Linked DNA regions of Lytechinus pictus. Each later gene encodes a partner of the first gene's protein in a complex. Links are inferred from orthologs where the notes say so. Each region holds a gene or a part of one and is shown on either strand. Other genes may lie near its edges. The genes, in order: geranylgeranyl transferase type-2 subunit beta-like, protein prenyltransferase alpha subunit repeat-containing protein 1-like and synaptobrevin homolog YKT6-like.

Region 1 (7,392 bases):
CTCTGTGAAATCATAATATCAAAGCAGAAAAAAAAATGACACAGAAGATCACCGACACAGAAAGGCACATGTGGGGCAGTGCATTATCATTGTTAGAAAAAAGACTTTGACACTTACCAGGCTAGCTGGAATGCCATGCTTGTTTCGTCCATTTCTCAGCAATTACACATTTCCTACCAGAATCATTTGGCAAAGCCCCCCCCCCCCGCCCTCCCCAAATGCTTAATTTTTTTCTAGATATGAGAGTTACAAGGGATAAAGAGACTAAACAAACTTACTTCTTTCCAATGAACACCAGTCCATAGAGAACGCCAGTCGCCATGATTACAAGGCAGGCAAAAATTTGACTAACTCCAACGCAGAAGAAGAACGGCACAATAGGTAACCTGGTGAGATCAAAATACATAGAGTAAATAAACACACCATGTATCATGCGCCATCTATCTAGTAAACTATTTGTGGCACAAAGGGATAAAACAAGGTTGGACGAGTAATTAGAAATTTTAGAAAACACCAAGATCACAATTAGAGAATGAAGTATGTGTATAAACAATAATTGAGCTTTTACAGATATTTATCAATCAGATAATTTACGTCTGGACAGACTTTCAACATCACCTTCTGAAAGACATATCCGGGGAGCATTCCATCAACATTCTTTGTCTGACAAGTTGTAAGAACAGACAACTTTCCTTTAATTTGATTAGCTGAGAAACACGGTTACTATAGTAACTGTTGGATATATAGAATTTGTTGAATAATATGTGCTTCAACTCCTTTCATGAAATGCTCCCAGCAGCTCAAAGCTCTGCATCAATTCATAACTTCCCCACGTAAATAATGTAGCTTTGGATTACAGGCGCACCCCACAATACCAGGTTGTGTTATAGTAAAGTAGTAAACACTGACAACACATATCATTATATGCTCTCGAGAGACCAATCTTTTGAAGAGTTGTGATGGAATCAAATCAAATAAAAATAAAAATATATTTGGGACCAGAGTAATCTGTTTGATGTAGAATAAACCGGGCCCTGTATTATAATAGATACAATCAGTTAATTGGAACTATTTGTGCATGGTTTTCCAAAGGTTTTAAGGGTTTGCTCGGATTTAAGATTGATTGTAATAATTTAAGTTTACAGGGTCCGAGGCTCTGTAACATAAAAGCAATGCATCGCGATTGATTTTGGGGCTGATATTTCAAATAATCAATGCAATCAATAATACATATATGCCGAATAATCAATCTCTAAGCTGCATGTTACAGCCAACAGGGCTAAGGCCTGAATAATTACTTAACTCTGGGCATATTAAAGTTGACTATAAAATGTTGACTTTGTACACTACTTACAAGAGATAGAAGAGAGCCTTCTGCCAAGGAGCTCTGTTTTCGCTCCATTTGCTGACTTTGTCTGTGATGTCAAGGAACTGGCAGCAAAACGGGGCTTCTAATAGAATCGTCAGGAATCCAAGAAGCCTGAACGTAAAAGAGGTTCAAAGGAAAAGGCTTTATTCGAAATTGAAGTTCAACCAGAGTAAACAGACGTATGAACAAGAAATACGATATGAGAAAAAGTACTTGATTACACAAATGACAATCACAGATCTAAGAAATACAATAATTCCAAAGTCATGAGAATAAGTACTTTATTACACAAATTACATTCAAAGATCTCTAAGAAATACAATAATTCCAAAGTATTTTCAAAATAATAATAATGTGATAAATAAGTATCATCAAAGAAGAAATAGCATGTGATGCAATATGCAAGCTCACCTCATAGAGTTCAAAATTGATTTTTTTTTTTAATCTTTCTTTATAAAAATTTCAATAAATTTAATCATATCTACACCGCATATTATGTGTTTCTACATGCTTCCCTACATTAAACTGCAATGAAATTAAGATATTACTAATTACAAGTTATAGGACCTTGAATAAGTGCATCAAAAATATCAGAGTATTGCATGGTGCATCAAAATGTGACCTATTGCACATAGGCTTGTAGACTTGTACAAAACTTGCTGTGCAATATATCAGGTCATGTTGCAAATGAATCACAGCAATCTAGCTAGGTGGAAAGGAGACACAATGATGAATTACATTTTTTGTTCTAACCACAGGTTGGGCCTAGTTATAGTTCTTATATGTAATTTTTTGCTTTACAGAAAGCCAAACTCATGTGTTCAAATACAAAGGTATCGATCCTGGGGGGAGGGGACAAACATATTGATTTTTCCCACTCCCCCCACCCCCCAAAAGTAATAACAATTAACTTGAGAAATATTATATCATAAGAAATGCAAATGTTTCGAAAAGCGTTGGAAAGCACTTAAACTCGGTATAATAATATCATAAATCTTATAATAATATCGTCAAGCAAAGTTCTGTAAATATATTTGGCATGCCCCCATCCCCTTCACCCAAAACATGGATCTACGCCTCTGTTCAAATATATGTCTAATAAAGAACAAATTGTTACAGGAAGTAAAGAGGACCATTCACAATGATTTTATTTCATGTGGGAGTGGCTACTCACATGATGTAGATACCTGCAACAATGCACAGTCCTTTGATTGAGATCATAGATACCAGTCCAAGAATAATAGCCACTGAAATACAAAAGGTAAAAATGAATTATAAGATATTTGATAACAACAATATTACGCTAAATTGCTAATTATTTGTCTACTGCCAAATCATCTACTCACCACATGGTATACTTTCATTTAGTCTAATGCCATTCCGTCCATCAACATGTCGTCTAACAACCATTTGGTCCAATCATCACTTCGTCTAATCACCATTTTGTCTATGACCATTTCGTCTCATAACCAGTTAGTCTAACATCCATTTCATTTTCATTCATTTTGCACAATTTAACACTTAGCCCAATTAGACCAAATGGTATATATGGACTAAATGGCTATTAGACCAACTGGTTATTAGACGGAATGGCATTAGACTAAATGAAAGTAGACCATGTGATGAGTGGACATACTGATGGTAGACCAAATGATAGCACACAAGTTGGCAATTGGACGAATTGGCATGAGACGAATTGGAAATAAAAACCAACATTACCTGTGAATTCATATAAACAGAGAAGGGCGAAAATGCTGCGGAACTGCAATTAGGGAAAATAGTTATCTTAAAGTTTGTGTTTTCACTCTACTCTTCTCCGACCAAACTACTTCTTTTGGGTTCACCATGGCATTGGATAATAATCTATATTCTATAACTCGAACTACATGTAGAGTATATGAAGTCAAGGCACTAAATGTAAAAACCAATGATACAGGTCCGACATTTTGTCATTTTAATACATAATTCCAAGAAGATTTATTACAAAAAAACACCCTTGTCCACCAACTCTCAAGTCTCTGACTAGACCAAAAGCTTCGGTCTCTGTTATGTTGGTTGTTCAGCTGAACTCCGTAGGCTTCACTCACCAAATACAGAGACCGAAGTTCTAGCGCGATCTGTACAGGGGACTCAATGGCCATATGTTTATGTGTATTAAGTTCGGATAATACAGGGCAGTGAAGTTGCGCGACAGCCGAGGTAAGTCACTGTTTTTGTTCCTTTTAACTTGCTTTTCCCCGTTTTTTGGCAATTAATGCCAAGAGGGAATATTAATTTGCATTTCGGTCGCGGTAATTTTCAAAAGTTTGATTCATTAAAGACAAAAATTGAAGAGCCCCGACGGGGGGATTTTGCATTGTAAGTCCCCTAATGGTGGCTGCACGATAGCGAGCCGTCTGTGTATGAGGAGAAATAAAAAATAAAAAATGTTAAAAAACTCCTCGAAACAGACGGCTGCCAGCTGTCTAGTCTCTGACCTGCTGTCTTCTTTGAAAAGAAATAGATCAAATCATTTTTATCATTTTTATCATTTCATCATCAATCATCATCATAACCATCATCATCATCATCATCGTCGTCGTCATCATCATCATCATCATTATCGTCGTCGTCATCGTCATCATCATCACCATCATCATCGACATCATCATCAAAATCATCATCACCATCAATCATCAATGCAATCATGACCATCATGACCATCATCATCATCAAAATCGCAGGATCTATTTACTAGGATCTAGACCATGTCTAACAATAAGACTAACGTTAAAATGATAGGTACCCTTTTCACAGGCACTTTTTTTTTATTCGGATTTGCTGATCAATATCACTCAGCGAATCCGAATACAAAAAAAAAATCACAATCAGTAATCACAATTTTCACACAAACATGATGTTGAATGTGTGGGACAATGCCAATGGCTAATTAACTTACACACTCCAGCTACAGAAGCAACAATCCTTACGAAAAGCCTGAAACAAAAACCCGTTTCTTTTTGTGGAGGTGGAGGTGATGCTTGCTGAGGTTGGCCATCGTTGCCCAAACTTTTGTACGTATCCGCCATCTTAAAGTATGAAAAAAACAGCAATCAAGAAGAACTTTCGCCTCTGCCAGCTTGTCCAATATTTTTTGATGACGTCATCAAGAGCAGAAGTGATACTTGAAAAAAATATTGCCTGTCGTCTTCACCAATTTTACGAAATGGTAAGTTTATAACTTATATTTGTAATATAGATATCATGAAATGTTGGAAGAGGCGTCCTGTCTTCAGTTGAGTAACAACTTAAGTACTTTATCCCTGTATAATTGGCACTTCTTTATTCGAAAATATGATAGTAGTTTTTTCCTTGCTTTGCCTTTGGTCCCATGTATTCAGAACGTCGTGTGTTTGTGTTGTGTGATTTTTTTTTCGACGGCTTTTAACCTTTTTATTGGCCCACACAGAAGAGGATGCACTGGTGCATGGACGGTGTAGACAGTCGTCACTGCCACACTAGGATGAGTCATGATGAGGGGAGGGGATCAAGTTATATTTTGAAATTCCAAAACTCAGTGGTCATTAACTATTGCAGATGCGCAATTAATGGCATGCATTATTAGAATATTAAAACTAAAACTTTCAAAAGTGGTAATGATGTCATTATTATGATGTCATTGTCATGAGACATGACATGACATTGACATTGTCCAACCATGGCATTGTGATCAGATGATGTTTGTCTTTGAGATGGTGTCTATATTTATGTCATTGCCACTTTGTCCGTGTCCCAGCTTTCCAATTATTACAATTACTATCAGTGATACAGATCCAATTTTTAAAGCATCTGAGTTTTGGGACACATTTTTCTTTCAATTCTCTACATTCCTTTTTATATGAATTGTAATTGAATTGAATTTTTGTATTGTTTCAAATGAGAGAGTTTTATACTCTCTGTCAATCAAGCAAATATTAATCATGCCAAAATGATGTTGTTTGTAAGAAAAAAGGTTAATCTCCATAATGCTTACAAGTATGTGCTACTAATACGGGAATATACCCTGTCCTCAAATGAACCCATGTGTGTTGAAATGAGAATAGAAATGTTTTGATACAGTTAACTGATTCGGTCATAATTAATTGAAGCAAAACATTGCCAGCACACAGGGGTAACTAACTGAGAATAATTCACATGAGATAATGTCTTAACATCTACCTTTTATTTCTCCGCCATATTTTCTCTACGTAGGGTACCCCCATCAAAGATGTAACTTTAAAACCAACAGCGCCAAAGGAACTCCTCTTGGACAAACATATTGAATACATAGCCAAGTATGGCTCTAAGAAAGATGATTATGTAAGAAACAATTGATTTGCTTTATCAATGAAAGTCAAATATTTAAAAACGTGCCTTGGAAAAATACATTTCTGTTGACATTGCCTTTTTGTAGTCATTTTTTTAAGGATTTGGATGTGATATTTTAAAGAATTTATGGTTATATTCAAGGTAAAGATTTCTTGTTCTCATAATTCAATAAAATTTCTAAGCAATTCTGTAAATAGCAGTTTGTCATAGCATACTGTGCATAACATTTTGACTTAAAAAAAGATTTATCATATACTTCTAGCTACATGTATTTGGAATTACATATATGCCTAGTAGGTAATTATATTGATATAATTCATAGTCATCATCTTCACCATAAACACCATCCCATCATCATCATTATCACCATCATCATCTTCTTCATCGTCATCATTATCATCATCATCATCATTATTTATTTTTTTTATATTACCTTCTTTATCTTTGTTATATTTGATAACTTGTACATTCTAGTACATAAAATGATGATTGTTTAATTTTTGTCTTGCCTGAACAAAGTTTGGCAGAGACCTAGTGATCACTTTCCTGTTAGTCTATCGGTCTGTTACAAAAATGTTGAAGTTTTTGTTCAGTTTGCTCTATTTCTTATTTCTGCATCAATTGTGTTTACACTTGGTACAAATAATCCTTGGGTAAGACCACATTTGTGTTGATGATGATCATTGGGTCAAAGGTCATCTCGGGGTCAAAAAATCTTATTGATCTCAAAAATAAGAAGAGATTTGTGGTTTATGAACCACCTTGTTATTGGATGATGATATGTTTAAAGGGGAATCCAACCCAAATAAAACTTGTTTTTATAAGGAAAAGAAAAATCAGACAAGTTGATAGGTGAAAGTTTGAACAATATTGGACAAACAACAAGAAAGTTATGAACTTTTAAAGGTTGTATATATTGGTAATCACTATACCCATGGAGACTTCAAATTGGCCACATATGGGATGTCATAATGATGTAAGGCAAGGACTACTCTTCCATGTACTCCAATACATATTATGGCTAAAATGTCATTTTCCCCAAAAGTTTTATTTCAAATTATATTTTTGTTTCATGAGGACATAAAACAATATACTTCCTGGGTTATATTTAGATTACTGCCCCAGGGGAATGAGTACTTAGGAGAAAACCACGAATCCCTGATAATAAAGTACTTGGCCTATGGGAAAGTTGTCCTTGCCCCTTGTCATAATTTACTTACCAGGTTGCCCATTTGAAATCTACATAGTATTAGTGATCTCAATTTTAAAGCAGCTATAACTTTCTTATTGCTTGTCCGATTTCTTTCAAACTTTAACCATTCTGTTTAATTTATTTTTCTCCTTCCCAACACAGCATTTTATTGCCAATGCTGGATTCCCCTTTAATAAAATGACATTTTTTATGTAATATAATATAACAGGAGTATGTGATGACTGAATACCTAAGGATGAGTGGCATGTACTGGGGTATCACTGTCATGGATCTGATGGGTCAGCTTGACCGAATGGACAAACAGGAGATCATTGAATTCATCGTCAGCTGCCAGCATGAATGTGGAGGATTTGGTGCCAGTGTTGGGCACGACCCCCATCTTCTCTACACCTTAAGTGCAATACAGGTGAGGGACCTGTTTGGTGAAACCGTCTTATAGAGCATTGCAAGGAACTGCATTCAT
Region 2 (7,086 bases), on another chromosome or scaffold:
CATTCTTTCAGGGAAAATTATGGGCAACTTTGGTCATCATGAGGGCAAAATCCCCTGTCGCCCTCAAGTATTTCTTACATGAATACTGGTTCCTAAGCATCATACTTGATGAGCTAATCAGACACATTTAATATTCAGTTGCATGCACAATTCATTTCACAAATTATTGTTAGCGGTTAACAGTTGAAGAGAATACAAGTATTGATAGTCATGTAACAGACTTGACCTTGTGTGATGAATGTTAAATGTGTCTTAAAAACTCAGCAAGAACTGTTTGAATGCTATTTTGCAATAAATGAAATGAAAATCTTTGTTGGTGTTGTTAAACTATTATTAAATTATAGCTTTGTTTAAGCTTACCTTTGTAGAAACGTTTGAGTAGATATTACTTCAACAAAGAAATATATTGTCCTCTTTCTTGTCATAAGCTCTGTAATAAGAAATCTCTAAGTTTTTGTGAAGATATCTGGTGCTATTTAATTCTGTAAACCTTTGTGCTGCGACATTTGAATCTCTATGACACTAATACAGGAATTACATGTCTACTGTAATACATGTAACTGTAAGGAATGCATGTTTATATCCTATCATATGATCAGGTTTATTTTATTCTGGAGAAAGGATACTTTTTATCCCCTTCATAATACATGTACACATGTAGATCATACACTTGTGAAGTTACAAATGTACTTTCATGTGCGCATGATATCTGCCAAGCAAGAATTCATGCAATAACGTATGTTGTTTGTTGTATCATTTTACGCAACATCAGCTAGCACATTCCATATGGGCATGAGACTGGTATTTTTTAAATGTCAATAAAATGAAGATATTCATGTACAAAAATATCAAATTAAACAATTGTGTTTGAAATTTTTCTTTTGGAGATAGAATCCCAGACACAACTTAGGAGAAACATCAGAAAAAATAGAAAAATGGATAGACAGATAGATATGAGAAAGAGAGAGAGAGAGCAATAGGGGGGGGGGGGGGAGAAAACTAGAAATGGGATAGAGGGAGAAACAAGATTCATGAAATATTAAAAACAACATAATTTTTCAAAATTAAAGACTTACTTGATAATGATAATGATATGCATTACTGACTTCCTAATTGATAATATATTAACAAATGTACATTCTAATAATAATAACTCTGGTCTATCCAGATATAATTGATCATTTGCCAATCTTTTGAATTGCCTTTCAACCTAGGTGTAGGAGTTGTGTAGAAATAAATAAAGTCATTTAACTTTTCAAATCTTGAATGGATTTTCTCTAAACTCTGGCAATATTTTATACTTTTCTGCTAATTTGTACAATAAAAATATTGTCAGGGTTAACTTCTCCTTTAATGAATAGTTTTGCTTTCAAAACCTCACATTAAAAGCCAGAGGCTGACTCATGTTGATAATGTTAGGTATATTGCTTGATTATGGCCCTTTCATATTCTTTGCAATGAAATAGAGAATTTTAAGGACATTCCCAAGCATCTGTACGCATCCCCGCTGGCAAGCACGTTGACGTCACAATAAATGAACAGGTGTGTAATCGGCTACAGATTGAGATATCAACTGATTTTTCCAGTCATTGACATTCTAACTGCAAATCTTGAGTATTAGCTGAAAATAATCTATCAAACTTTTAAATGCTTCTACTACCTCTTCACAATACTTTATCACTCTGCAGTGCTGCAAAGTATGACGAATATGACCTCGAGTTCGATTAAATGGGATAATGGTGAAGAGTTTTCCTTTATGTAGATACAAGCCTTTTAAAACATATTTTGTGTTTTTAAAATCACATTTGCTCCAACAAATGTGCAAATAGTTTGAAAACAAGCACATTCATGAACGCCCAATTTTTACTGAATGTTCACACACCTCATTAGTATACTTAATTTTCTCTACAACCATGCAAAATTTGGTGAAAATGACATGGGTTTTGAATAAAGTGCAGCATTTATTGTACTTCATAAAATCTGTTATATAAATTTCAAATTTTTAAGATATGTTTTTGTTGTCTTTCACACCTTATTTTCAAAATTGAAGGTGCTGCTACTCTTTAAAGAGCAAACAAAAAACAATTTGAGTGCGGGATTTAATTCTAAACTATAAAATTTGGTGAAATATAGATAGATTTCTACTGGTAATAGAGGTATCAAACTCAACGTTGAGATCTCATAGAATATGTATAAATACTATTTAATTAGTATTTCTCGAGACCTTTCAAAACAGTGAACTTCATCGCTCGAAATAGCAAAAAATCAAGCACATATGAACCCATGTTAATTTTTGCATATATGGCATATTTACATGTAGGTGCTGAAGTAACTCTGTGCAGAATTTGGTGAAAATGACATGGATTATTTCATTTTAACTGTGGAAGGTCCTTAATTGAGCCACCTTCCATTGATCACTACCAATGAAGACTGGACAGCAATCCAAGAAATAAATAAAAATGTTAAAATTAATAAATGAAATCCCTGACTGATCGATGTACGACTCTAGGACATCTGCATAAAATCTGTGTTTGTCTGTTTAGCAGCATGCAATGCTCTGCTCTAGAACAGAAATTTAGGCTGAAAATGGGGGTTTCAACCACGGCACATTCATACGTATACATTTATACTAATGAACCACACCCCGGGCCCCCCCGAATATCGTGCGGCTATATAGCTGCAGGCTTAATTAGGCTGGTTTTCAGCCATATTTTCCCCGATCGGCCGCTCGAAGATGATTTTTGGTTTCTTTGAAGGGGTAGTCCTAATAGTCACTTCTGTATAAATCAACATAAATATATAATATAATTCTTAATTATATAATGCGAGCACGAAGCACAAGCTAAATTTTTTGAATTTTATGTATTTTAGCTCTATATATTTCAAGCACTTTGTAGGAAAATTGTGAGGTGGATATGGATCACACTTAATCAAGAGCTGATATTTTTCATTATTATTACTCTGAATTCCTTAGGACATGTCATCATAATTATAAAAAAATGATGACTATCTTCCTATTCCTCTTGCTAAGCGCGAGATGAAACAACAGGGACATTTAAATTATTAGATTAATATCTTATTTATTAATCTAATATGCCTAATTAGGGCGTGAAATCTGATATTATGGCCTGAAACCTGGACATTTCAAGCACTTTTGTAATTATATATGAATATAGGATGCATCAGTTAATATATTTCTAACCATGATGCGAGCGCAAATCGCGAGCCAAAATTTTTGATAAACTCATCAAAAGGGGATTTTAAGTAATTAGTTTTGTAATCAATATTGAGATATACATAACTTGCCAATCAAAATGCGATCGTGCAGTGCTAGCTAGTACGTTTTGACAATCAGACCTAGCTGCAAGGGATGTATACTTTGAAAACGAGTAGAAAATGTTAATATTCAGACCATAAAACTGACAGTTTTACAGAGCACTTTTTAAAAATCAATATAAAAAAAAACACACAAATAATGAAAGTTCGATTTCCGAGGTGAAATATGTTTTGTAAATTGTATATTTAAGCTCGATCCATATTGAACAAGATAAAGTCACCTAACAGGCAATGCGAGCGCGAGCGAAAATTTTATATAGTGACATGAAAGATTCTTTTTATTTTCCAAGCCTTCCCCTCATCTCATTTCATTAATTCGTCTTCCTTCTCTTCTTTTTTCTCCTCTCTTTTCCCTCCTTTTTTTTTTTCCCCCCTTTTTCTTTCATTTTTTGCTCCACCAATAGGGGGGGGGGGGGGCCTGGGCCCCTTGGCCCCCCTGGATCCGCCTATGTCGATCCCCCTCCTCCCCAAAGTCCCTCCCCCGTATAACGGCTCCAGAATATATAGGGGTCACGGACCCACTTACACACACGCATAAAGAAACGTAAAAAATACCATCTGATTATGTTTTTTTTTTCATGGTCAGCCCCGGCCCCCATAACAAAAAACCCTCTGTATTCCGTATCTTGTTTGTGCTTTTGCAGACACTGTATACCACATAACAAAACAGAATCCTTCTCGGTATTTTAACTTGGGACACCAATTCCGGCTGAAGATCTTGCTGATATGTTTCTAATTTTGTAACCACTTTGACTTTAATGATGGGAGACGATAGTCGACCAAGGAGGATATTGGCGGATCTAAGCAGTGCTCTTCGTCGAGATCCTAAAATGTAAGTTTTTGTTGGCCCAAATTTTCGCTAGTGCGCTTTCGCACCCTGGTGTCGGTGGAATGAAGAAGCGCCAGTGGCAGTGGCACAGGCAGTGCTAGCAGCGTTATACTGCCACTACCACTGGCTCTGGAACAGCTGCAGTTATGTAGGAATGCGCTGCTGAGCTGTCGGCGCTAATGCAGTTTCGCACCGGCCGACTTCGAGCAAATAATTTCCCCTCCAGAAAGTCTCTCAGTCACATTTAAAGGTCAATAAACAATGGGGTCGGGACAACTTGGACCTCGGAACATCGCGGGCCGAGTTGTCCCACCCGTTTTATGATTTTTTTTCCCCACAAATTTGTGTCTATTTTTTCGTCATTTCGAAATTTCTTGTAACGATTTTCTACAGAAGAGGCGCACGGCACGGCCAATATCACCCAAGGGTTCATTACATGCCGCCGCGCACAGAAAATTCAAGCCATAGAAGTCGTTTGTTGTGGACCCAAGAAGTGAGATCCCAGCACGCGCGACCCACTAGTTAGAAATCCACTGCCAAACGCGGTTCGTGGTGCGAGGTTAGTATACTAATACTAACCTCGCAATACGTGTGAGTGGGCCAATATAGGAGACTCCAATCCAGTCACAATGTGTGAATTGTCATGATTGTAGCGAATTGAGATCATGTTTTCTTGGGTTTTGTGGCCATGTAATATTCATATTTTGTTGAGATTTTGGAGTAATTTCTGTTGCTGTTCTGTGTATTTTGAGGAAAAATATGTTTTCCGTTTGAAGTGCCACTTTCCTTTCAAAAGGCCCTTTCTGTGCATTCCGTCCGTTTTCCGCGATCGCGGAAAATCACTGTCCCTAGTAATATGTCAAAGAACTTCTTTAAGAAGCGCTTTTTGCAGTGCTCCCCTACTGCTTTAGGAGAGCTTTTTATTGTTCCCCTCATAATTATAATCAGTCCCTGCAGGACATATTCTCTACAGTCAAATCTCATTAAAACCATCGACCAAATTGAGGTAAGCGATTTAAAAAAATCATTTTCTCATTAAAAAAAAAATCAAAATTACCATTGTAAATGTTAATACTGTCAATGTTTGTTCAGTTGTAAATAGACCGATTTTTGGCAAATATTTCTACTATTTAAGCATTCTTTGCGGACTTTTTGAAAATCAAGTCATGGGACATTCACTGAGCGAGGTTTGTCTATATACAACCTCGCTTTAGAGTGAGTGCTTTTTGTTTTATTCTCAAGTACATTAATTTTGTAATTTGCACCTATTTCTCCCTGCTAGTTCTACTATAACCTATTTTCAGTTTGGGTAAATACAATAAAAGGGCATATCAGATACTGAGATATCACAGAGTTTAAATTGCTTGCTAGTTAAATACCACTGGACTCTTTGCCAAATATTCCCCTCTTTCAAGAATGGATATTTAGTAATTCAGCTTCTGATTTTACTATTTTTGTTCTTTTTAGTGATGAGTTTGACTTCATCTATTGTCCTGAACCCGTAGTTAATAGAAGTCCTGTTGTGCTCGAGAATCATAAGCTGGGGCTGCAAACATGGAGCATTAATCTCCTCTTCAAATTTGTCTACAGCAACCTAATGAAGAAGAGTACAACAGTTAAAGGTATTTATTATCAGCATTGGAAACAGTGTTAGCAAATTTAGGTATTTCTCACCTAGATTGGGAAATACTGGGAAAAAGTAGTAAAATCCGAGGAGGTATCTACATGTAAGATGTATACCCAGTTGTTGTGTGTCCGGACAATCAAGTTTAAACAGCCTTTTGGTAAAGCTACATCAGTTTTATAGTACAAAGTGATATGAAATATTATAGAGAACAAAATTGAAGAAGATTACAACTATTCAGTTCATATTTTGTGTATTCCAATGACAAAAAAAAAGAAGGCTTCAAAATTTTGAAGTGTCTGACCACCCCACCCCCATCCTACAGGGAGGTACATGGAAAATTTGGAAATGCTAGAATTTGCTTGAGAAACACCTGGGCAATACCTGAAAATATTCAAGAAGTATATATACATTTATTTCATAGTATTTCCAACTATTTCCAATATTCCAAAAAAAATATTGAGGTGGCATTTACCGGCATTTACCACTATGATTTCCCATTGAGGCTAACCCTGATTAGTATTGAGAAGAGTGCATGCATGAGACAGAGTCAAGTAAGTTCCATGTAAAAGCCCCATCATACTTGTTCTTAATCAAGCAGAATTAGTCAGAAGGAAATCTCTGTTGGTCGAACAACAGCGGTCTTAGAAAAATCCCTGCAGAAGTTTGCGTATTTTGAGAGGTACCTAATACTTAGCAGGTATTTTCTTTCTGTAATTTCCTTTTAGACTGTAAAAAAGTACATGGTATCCTCAGTTTTCTAGTTTGTCTGAAAATAGATAGATTAATAAACAATAAAGGAAATTTCCTTTAAAGTCATCTTCTTGTTGGCAGATGTGTACAGGCTGGATGTGTATGACCATGAGTGTAGTCTTCTGTAAAAACAGCAGAATGATTGATTAAGATTTTAACATTCCCATACAATTGACAATACAGGAGAGTTTTGGTTTAGCAGAAGTGCAACATTTTTTTATGTTATGTCCCTTTCTCTCTCTCTTCTGTGACTACTTGACAGATTTGAAGTCTGTGCATGAATTCAGCTGTGCTGTGCTTTTACTCAATCCAGATTGTTACACAGTATGGAATTTACGGTGAGTTTAAGTCCATTTAGTAGTCAGTACATGCAATATAAATGTTATTCTATCAAGGAGAAAGATATGAGATTTTTGTCTCACCTGCATAGCAGAGTGAGACTGTAGGCGCCGCTTTTCCGACGGCGACGGCGACGGCGACGGCGACGGCGGCGGCGGCGTCAACACCAAATCTTAACCTGAGGTTAAGTTTTTGAAATGACAGC
Region 3 (7,414 bases), on another chromosome or scaffold:
GGCCGATCGAGACTGGGGTAGGAGAGAACTTTTCGTTTTTTTTAGTATGGTCAAATACACGGTAAGCCCCTGGGCTCCGGCCCGCTGTGCGGGCCGGAGCTCCCTGGGTTACTTGCACATCAGATATATGCTGGACTGTCTGATGTATCAATTATCATCGTGATATTCATGGTGTGTGTATGTTCCCAAGTCAAAGCAGTTTCCCTTAATCTTTAAAAATGAACAATTGAGAAAACATACAACCCAGCATATAATAACACAACTACAAACTAAAATATTCTGAGTAAAAAAATGATGAAAATGTAATTAAATGTTACATTTCAAGCATTCATGTATAAAAAAAAAGGGCCTCAAAAAGACAATATGGGGCCTGGGGTCATCAACTTCAAGCAGGCTTGCCCCGAAAACATCTCCCGAATTGTGTGATAATATATTTTGCTTTAAAATAGATATCAGGGGATTTTGCCATGATTGCATTGTTAACCCCCTATTATCAGCCTAAAGACAAAGTAATGGCAACTGCACGACCGCGAGCCGTCTGTTTAACTTTAACAAGGAGAAGAAAAAAATGTTTAAAAACTCATCGAAACAGACGGCTGCCAGCTGTCTACAGTAGAGGCGCTGGTCAGAAAATTGGGATCGTCCCAGAATACAGGGACTGTCTCAGTTTATAAGGATTTCTTCACACAAGAAATCTAGGAAAGTTCATTCACCTGTCAAGTGCCGACACCAATCAAGTGTGCTAGTCAATGTAAACATATCAGGTTTCATAACAAGATTATTGGAAGACGGTAAGTCATGAAAAATAGACGGCGAACTGGGGGGAATTGAGGTCACTGAATCTATTTTTAGCACTCTCAATTTCCGTAATTGCTGTCTTTGTCCCGTAGGGAGAAGTGAAAAAAAAACGTCCCCATAAACAAGGACAGTCTCAATTTATCAAGACATGATTTGTCTTGGTTTATGAGGATATCCTTGTTTTCTGGGACAATCCCAGTTTTTGGACCAGCGCCTCTACTGGTCTAGGCAATGCTAATGGCCTGCCTGCCGAATGACTCCTTCATTGTTTCATTTGATAAAAGGAAATTTGCCATTACGATATTCACCTATTCACTTGCTTGCCAAAAAGACACGCACGACGAAGGCCGGCCGAAGGCGCGGCAGGGATAAAGCAGCGGATAGTGGCCTTCTGGAGCACGGGGCTTGCCCGGCGCTGTCATCAGGTACAGTCCGGTGGGTCCCCCAGCAATAGGCGGTGAGCCTTGTGTAGGTAGCGCGAGCAATAACAATAACATGAATGCGATCATCCTGGAAGAAAATCTCTACCATAACGTTAGAGATTTATTTTTTAGACTTAGATCTGTTTAATACTTATATAACAATTTTGTTTTTTATATTATTTTAAATATTTAAAACCTATAAATTATATTTTTACGTGATTATAATCTAGCATGAGTTATTCAGGCCGCATTATATTGATTTGTGAATATAATTTTTAGTTGGCAACTACCCTCAAGTACACAAATTCTAGTGTAGACCTTTAAAATATTATGAGTCATTCAGAATGACGTGTCGACCGCTAGCGCTGCGCCCACGCAAGCGACCAATTAGCGCCCGATCACCACAGAAATATGAAAGAGCTTGTAGTGTGTCTTCAAAAAGGTGCAAAAGACGGGAAATGTCCTCTTTTCTAGATGAGATACTGTCAGATTTGATTTATTTTCTATTGCTTCGCTCACAATGTTCATAATTTAAAAATTTCAATTGCTAAAAATCAAAATGTATCAATATGAGAGCTATGCCTATCATTATGAGGATTTAATGATAACTAACACTCAAGATACATTCATGCGGGATTTCGGTAAAGTGTCCTTCGCATATCGTGAGTTTATTGTCCAACCCCATTTGTAGGAGTGCCTCTGTACATTGCCTCTGTATCATATAGAGGGGGCCTCGCGGGTGGCGTAGGGGGGGGGGGGATTGTGCAATAGGGCCCACGGCAAAAATTATCACCCCTGACAGGGGCGGATCCAGCTTTCGCCAATAGGGGGGGGGGGCCGAAAAATATTTTCATCAACATTTTTCTCGATTGGCCGCTATAATCTGATTTTTTTTTTTTTTTTTTTTTTTTTGGGGGGGGGTTCAGGGGGTAGTCCTAAATAGAGACTGAAGTTTTAAGTATATGTTAGTTTTTATTGTTATAAACTAGATAAGGTATATCATGTGGTCTTAATATATAATGCGAGCGCAAAGCACGAGCTCAAATTCTTTGATATTTTATGTCCTTAGACCTGAAGATTCTGAGGAGATTTTATAATCATGAAAAAGATAAGTATCCAACTAAACAATGCGAGCGCGAAGCGCGAGCCGAAATTTTATCATAGTAACGTGAAAAGGGACTCAATTAGGACTGTTTTTATTGATTAATGAAGAGGATACAAGTATCACCAATTAAATAATGAGAGTGCGAAGCGCGAGCTCAAAATTTTTGATATTCCGACCTGAAAACTGGACAGTCTAAGCGCGTTTTTATTTAAATACAGAAAAAGCTGTGTGTCTCAAACAATAAAATGCGAGCGCGAAGCACAAGCTCAATTTTTTTATATACTGACATGATAAAGGAGCATTTTGACAAATTTTGGTAAGAATTTCCAAAGAGGATAGGTAACTCACAAATCAAACAATGCGAGCGCGCAGCGCGAGCTGAAAATTTTGATATAAACAATTTGTGTAAAACAAACAAAATAATTAAAGCTTGATGTGCGAGCTAAAATATTGTGTGCAAATTGATTTCAGATCTGGATATATAAGTGTCATTTAATCCTCTTGAATGGGATTCATTGGCACAGGCAATGCGAGCGCAAAGCGCGAGCGAAATTTTTTATATAAAGTTCTTTTTTCCAATTCTTCCCCTCACCCTTTTCTTGTTTCCTTTTGGGGTCGGGCCGGCCGTTACGAGGTTGTAAACTACACATCCTGGGTATGATACCTCTTTCCTACTTTTCTTTAGTGCTTTTCCTATAGTACACTTTTTCTGCAGGTTGTCAAAAAATAGGGGGGGGGGGCCGGCTCGGCCCCCTCCTGGATCCGCGCCTGCCTGACGCATTGGGCTCAGGACAAGTCCATCCCAATAAAAAGTTAATAAAGGAAAAAACGAAAAATCCAACAAGCACAACACTAAAAATTTCATCAAAATCGGATGTAAATTAAGAAAGTTACGACATTTTATGATTTTCTTTTAATTTCACAAAATAGTTATATGTGCATTCTGGTCTGTATGCAAATGAGGGAACTGATTGCGTCACTCATTCACTATTTCCTTTGTATTTTTTTATATGAAATATTTTAATTTTCGTCTCATTAATTGTTCTGTGTATCAAATTCCTTCATAAACATGTGGAATTGCCATTGTTTTAACATTTTTATGGTTCAGTCAAGTTACACTCTTAAAACAAATCATGATTGACTAGACCAGTATAGCGGCTGGGTGCAACTGATATGAAAATAAATGATTATCACATTTCTGACATATCGAAATAACTCTGTTCTAGTAATACGACTAGAAAAAACTCAAATATGACTAGAATAACAGTTGCACCCACTGCAGCTGACCCTAAGTCATTTTTGACTGGTTTGTCTTTAGAGACGGTGTGGTCCTTTTTGTCATATCTGTAAATTCAAACAAAAAAAACATTAAAAATGTGATGGACATCATCGACATTCTCATTTGCATATCACTGAGTTGTGCATATAATTAGGAAAAATAAGTGAAACTTTGAAATGTCATAACTTTCTTATTTTACATCCGATTTTGATGAAATTTTCACTGTTACGCCGCTTGTTTGATTTCTCTATTTATTCAAATCAACATTGAGTCCTTCAAACACAGGCTGGACAAACATTGGTCTTGCCATCATCAAATTCTCCCCTACATAAAAAAAAATAAATATCCGTCCACCCTCCACGCAACATGCATGCATGTAATCTACAAGTCATTTAAAATAGTCAAGTTGGAACAAGCACTATCAAAAGGAACGACCGGAAGTCTCGACATCAGGCTTGCCTTCTTCTTCCGTACACTGATGATGATGATGATGATGAACATTTTTCTGGGGTGGACTTTACATTTATCAACTAGACCATAAACTTAAGTCTGTGTACCATTCCCGGGTACCATTGACTGCTCTGCTGAACTACATTAGCTACACTTTCCTAGTTTAGAAGGGTGTGTGAAGTCTAATATCAATACACTTTTTATTATTTTTGTTTGCTCTTTTGTAGACACCATAATATAATAAATCGATTTTTAGGTCTGATATTTTCAGGATTATGCGCTAATGGTCGCTAGAAAAACCGCACAGTACGGCGTAAATGAGTAATCGCTCATAAACGTTGACAGAAGAAGCTACAAATCCATCGTTATCACCGTCCTTCGCTACGAGACCACCCATCTGATTCCAAACAAGAGAAGTGACAGTGAATTGAACGATCTGCGACGTGACGTGCCCAGTGATTAGTCAGAAGAGAAAGAGAAATAGTCAAGTCATTCTAACGTTACGTTAGTTTCTACCTCCACTGCTCAGGCTCCATGGTCAAGTGCAGTGTGAGTGTAAATTGTAATGATGAACGACAACTAACAGAGGCTCTGAGTGAGAGTGGAACAGTACTGTCAGTGGAACGTGAACTGGAGTGGAAGCAGTGACGAGTCAGCTCAGAAGATAAACTGAACTGAACGGAAAAAAAGGTCAGGGTAAGTTTCAGACGGCATGGAGATTGGAGGGGAAGGGGGAGGGGGAGGAGGCGACAGCGTATAAAATAAGACAGTCACTGAGTCAGTTTCGCATCGGCCGGCCTCAACTTCAAAGTTCAAGTTCAATTTTTTTTTTCAACTTTCAATCAAGCAAATTTCCCTACCAGGGGCAGTAGGCAGTCTTCAGGTGAAAATTAGGAAAGGCTGTTCCACTTCCACTTCCAGCATGTTTTTTATGCTCACAATAAATGAGGCTCAATATCTACGATTCACAATCTGTTTGAATTTTCAAATTCCGACTTCTAGAAATCGAGTTATTGTCATCTTTGTGATACAAAATGACTTTTTTGTGGACAAAAGATGATTGCGTAATCCAGGGCCGTAATCTTATTATTCTCTTTGTTTTGGGCATGGCACACTTATATTATAATGCATAGCTTATGGGGAATGTACAAATATTTTGAAAGCTTTTTTGCAATGATTTTGACTACCCCTGGACGATTACCCCCCCCCCCCCCCGGACAACTACACGGTACCCCATCCAAAAATCTACACCTAACCCTATTTCGGGGTACTAATTGTCCTGTGGTACTGGTACTCATTGGTAGGTTTGTGCACAGGGTAAACATGACTTGATATGGATTTCTTTTGCTTGAACATTAGAAATTAAATTTTCAATGAATATAATTTGAAATAAAAAGAAAGAGAATTCAAATAATAATCTCAGAATTTTTAGAGAAAAAAATAAAGTCAGATTAATTTCAATTATTTATTATGATTATCGCATTATTGTTATTATGGTCTCAATAATATTTTAAATATTAGTATTGTCTCATTATCATTGTTTCATCATTGTTGTCAAAATTATTGTTAGAATTATAATTATAATCATAATTATAATATCAATAATTATAATATAATAATAATTATTGTCTAATTAATATTATTCTCAATAATTATTACAATTATAATTACTATCATAATTGTTATCATAATTATTTTATAATTGTTTCAATAATGATAAGGCCTACATAATTATAATTATTTTAATTATAATTATTATAATAATGATTGTTATTGATGTCTCATTAATATTATTGTCTCAATAATTATTACAAAATGTATAATTACTATCATTATTATAATTGTTATAATTATTTATAATAATTATAATTGTAATAATAATTATTATTGTCTCAATAATTATAAGGGCTATGATTATTATAATTATAATTATTTTTATAATAATAATTATTGATGTCTAATTAATAATATTGTCTCAATAATTATTACAATTATAATTATCATTATAATTATAATTGTTATCATTATAATCACTTTCTAATAATAATTACTATTGTAATAGTAATTATTATTGTCTCAATAAAATTGAGCTCTTCATCCACAATGACACCAAGATCATCTTGGTGTCATTGTGGATGAAGAGCTCAATTTTAATCAACAAGTCTCAGCAGCTGTTTTGAAAGCTAACCAAATACTTGGAATAATACACAGAACTTTTTCTCAAATAATCTCTGAAATATTACCAATTTTGTTTATAAGTCTGATTCGACCTCATCTGGAATATGGGAACATTTTATGGCATGTGAGATTCAAAATGGATGCAGACAAAGTAGAGAAGGTGCAAAAGAGAGCTTCTCGCATGATTCCTGGTCTCCAGATTTTAACTATGAGCAACGTCTAGAGAGACTCAACCTTCACTCACTGTTTTATAGAAGATGAAGGGGAGATATGATCACTGTTTATAAACTGTCAAATGGAAAGTTGGGGATCTCTAGTGACACATTCTTCACACCAGCAATGCACTCAGCAACAAGAGGTTACAAGTTCAAGCTTTTCATACGACGATCTCGGTTGGAACTTAGAACTAGAAGTACATTTTTTAGCCAAAGTATAATTTCTGATTGGAACAAACTGCCTACAGAAGTAGTGGAAGCTAAATCAGTGGAATCAGTGAAAAGATTTAAAGATCTGTCGGACAAGTTCTGGTGGGGGGGATTGAAAACCTCTATTTCTCAACGCATGTAAAGATTCATAAGTTCAAGCTGTATAGATATACTTGTAAAATACCCAAAGTAAAGACCAGAAAATCTACAGGAGAAGTCTTCATTTCCGTTCCTGATGTGATGAGAGACTTGCTATGATATTTGCAAAGAATTACTGGTGGGGAAATTTGCTTGAAGTTGGCCGATGCAAAACTGCATTTGCGCAACCCTTAGCCTTGATAAATGTTAATTATATTGAATCAAGCTTAACTAACTATCTTACAAAGGTATAGATCATCATTTTATGATAATTTTTGTTTCTAAAGTGATTCAATTGGTACACCTTACATGTATTTGTATATTGATCATGAACAGTGTTCCCAGGTCCAAGCTGAAGAAAATCCGCAAAAGGCACTCGAAAATTCCACCAATTGGAATCTACATGTATATCCCCAAATTTTTCAAATCACAATAATTTCTGAAAAAGTGAGGACATTTACCATGATTATTGCCCAAAACTAGTTAATATGTGCTTGTTTGTTCACACCATACACAGCAGATTTTTATTATTATTTTTTTATTTTTATTAAAGGTTTCGATGCAAAGTAGATTGGCAACACTACCATTGTATCGTACAACCAACTAAGTTCAATGTATC

Evidence for each region.
Region 2: the proteins of geranylgeranyl transferase type-2 subunit beta-like (region 1) and protein prenyltransferase alpha subunit repeat-containing protein 1-like are in contact, whole or in part, in a crystal structure (PDB 6O60), measured with the Homo sapiens proteins. The link is inferred for Lytechinus pictus from reciprocal best matches to the Homo sapiens genes RABGGTB and PTAR1. Residues at the interface, in NP_004573.2 of Homo sapiens: Lys6, Asp36, Tyr37, Cys40, Met41, Glu43, Tyr44, Ile89, Gly90, His91, Asp92, Asp136, Trp138, Glu140, Phe177, Asp178, Gly182, Cys183, Arg184, Pro185, Gly186, Ser187, Glu188, Ser189, His190, Gln193, Trp217, Glu221, Arg222, Pro225; in NP_001093136.1 of Homo sapiens: Val61, Lys62, Leu65, Pro66, His69, Leu73, Arg76, Leu97, Asn98, Asp100, Phe101, Thr102, Thr103, Asn106, Lys109, Glu110, Leu113, Ile141, Arg144, Trp145, Pro192, Ser193, Tyr195, Ser199, Ile202, Trp203, Gln206, Val231, Ser232, His234.
Region 3: the proteins of geranylgeranyl transferase type-2 subunit beta-like (region 1) and synaptobrevin homolog YKT6-like are in contact, whole or in part, in a crystal structure (PDB 6J7F), measured with the Homo sapiens proteins. The link is inferred for Lytechinus pictus from reciprocal best matches to the Homo sapiens genes RABGGTB and YKT6. Residues at the interface, in NP_004573.2 of Homo sapiens: Thr3, Pro4, Gln5, Lys6, Asp7, Ile9, Lys11, Tyr37, Leu45, Trp52, Leu236, Asp238, Cys240, Arg281, Gly283, Asp284, Met285, Asp287, Phe289, His290; in NP_006546.1 of Homo sapiens: Lys60, Gln62, Asp63, Leu65, Asn83, Glu84, Tyr85, Pro86, Ser87, Leu153, Asn155, Thr156, Glu158, Arg189, Lys190, Cys194, Cys195.

What each region holds. Positions count from the first base shown.
Region 1 is NC_087259.1:24,339,023-24,346,414, reverse strand, and holds the start of geranylgeranyl transferase type-2 subunit beta-like, read left to right. Parts: upstream 1-4,297; 5' UTR 4,298-4,307; coding exon of another isoform or gene 4,308-4,437; 5' UTR 4,438-4,445; coding exon 4,446-4,577; exon of another isoform or gene 4,578-4,924; intron 4,925-5,599; coding exon 5,600-5,707; intron 5,708-7,137; coding exon 7,138-7,335; intron 7,336-7,392. Other genes in the region: calcium channel flower homolog, read right to left, coding at 279-386, 1,355-1,480, 2,544-2,616, 4,308-4,437. UniProt on the Homo sapiens protein: Catalyzes the transfer of a geranylgeranyl moiety from geranylgeranyl diphosphate to both cysteines of Rab proteins with the C-terminal sequence -XXCC, -XCXC and -CCXX, such as RAB1A, RAB3A, RAB5A and RAB7A.
Region 2 is NC_087249.1:4,778,195-4,785,280, forward strand, and holds the start of protein prenyltransferase alpha subunit repeat-containing protein 1-like, read left to right. Parts: upstream 1-3,976; 5' UTR 3,977-4,094; coding exon 4,095-4,168; intron 4,169-5,632; coding exon 5,633-5,787; intron 5,788-6,804; coding exon 6,805-6,880; intron 6,881-7,086.
Region 3 is NC_087256.1:1,625,050-1,632,463, reverse strand, and holds the start of synaptobrevin homolog YKT6-like, read left to right. Parts: upstream 1-4,333; 5' UTR 4,334-4,750; intron 4,751-7,414. UniProt on the Homo sapiens protein: Vesicular soluble NSF attachment protein receptor (v-SNARE) mediating vesicle docking and fusion to a specific acceptor cellular compartment. Functions in endoplasmic reticulum to Golgi transport; as part of a SNARE complex composed of GOSR1, GOSR2 and STX5.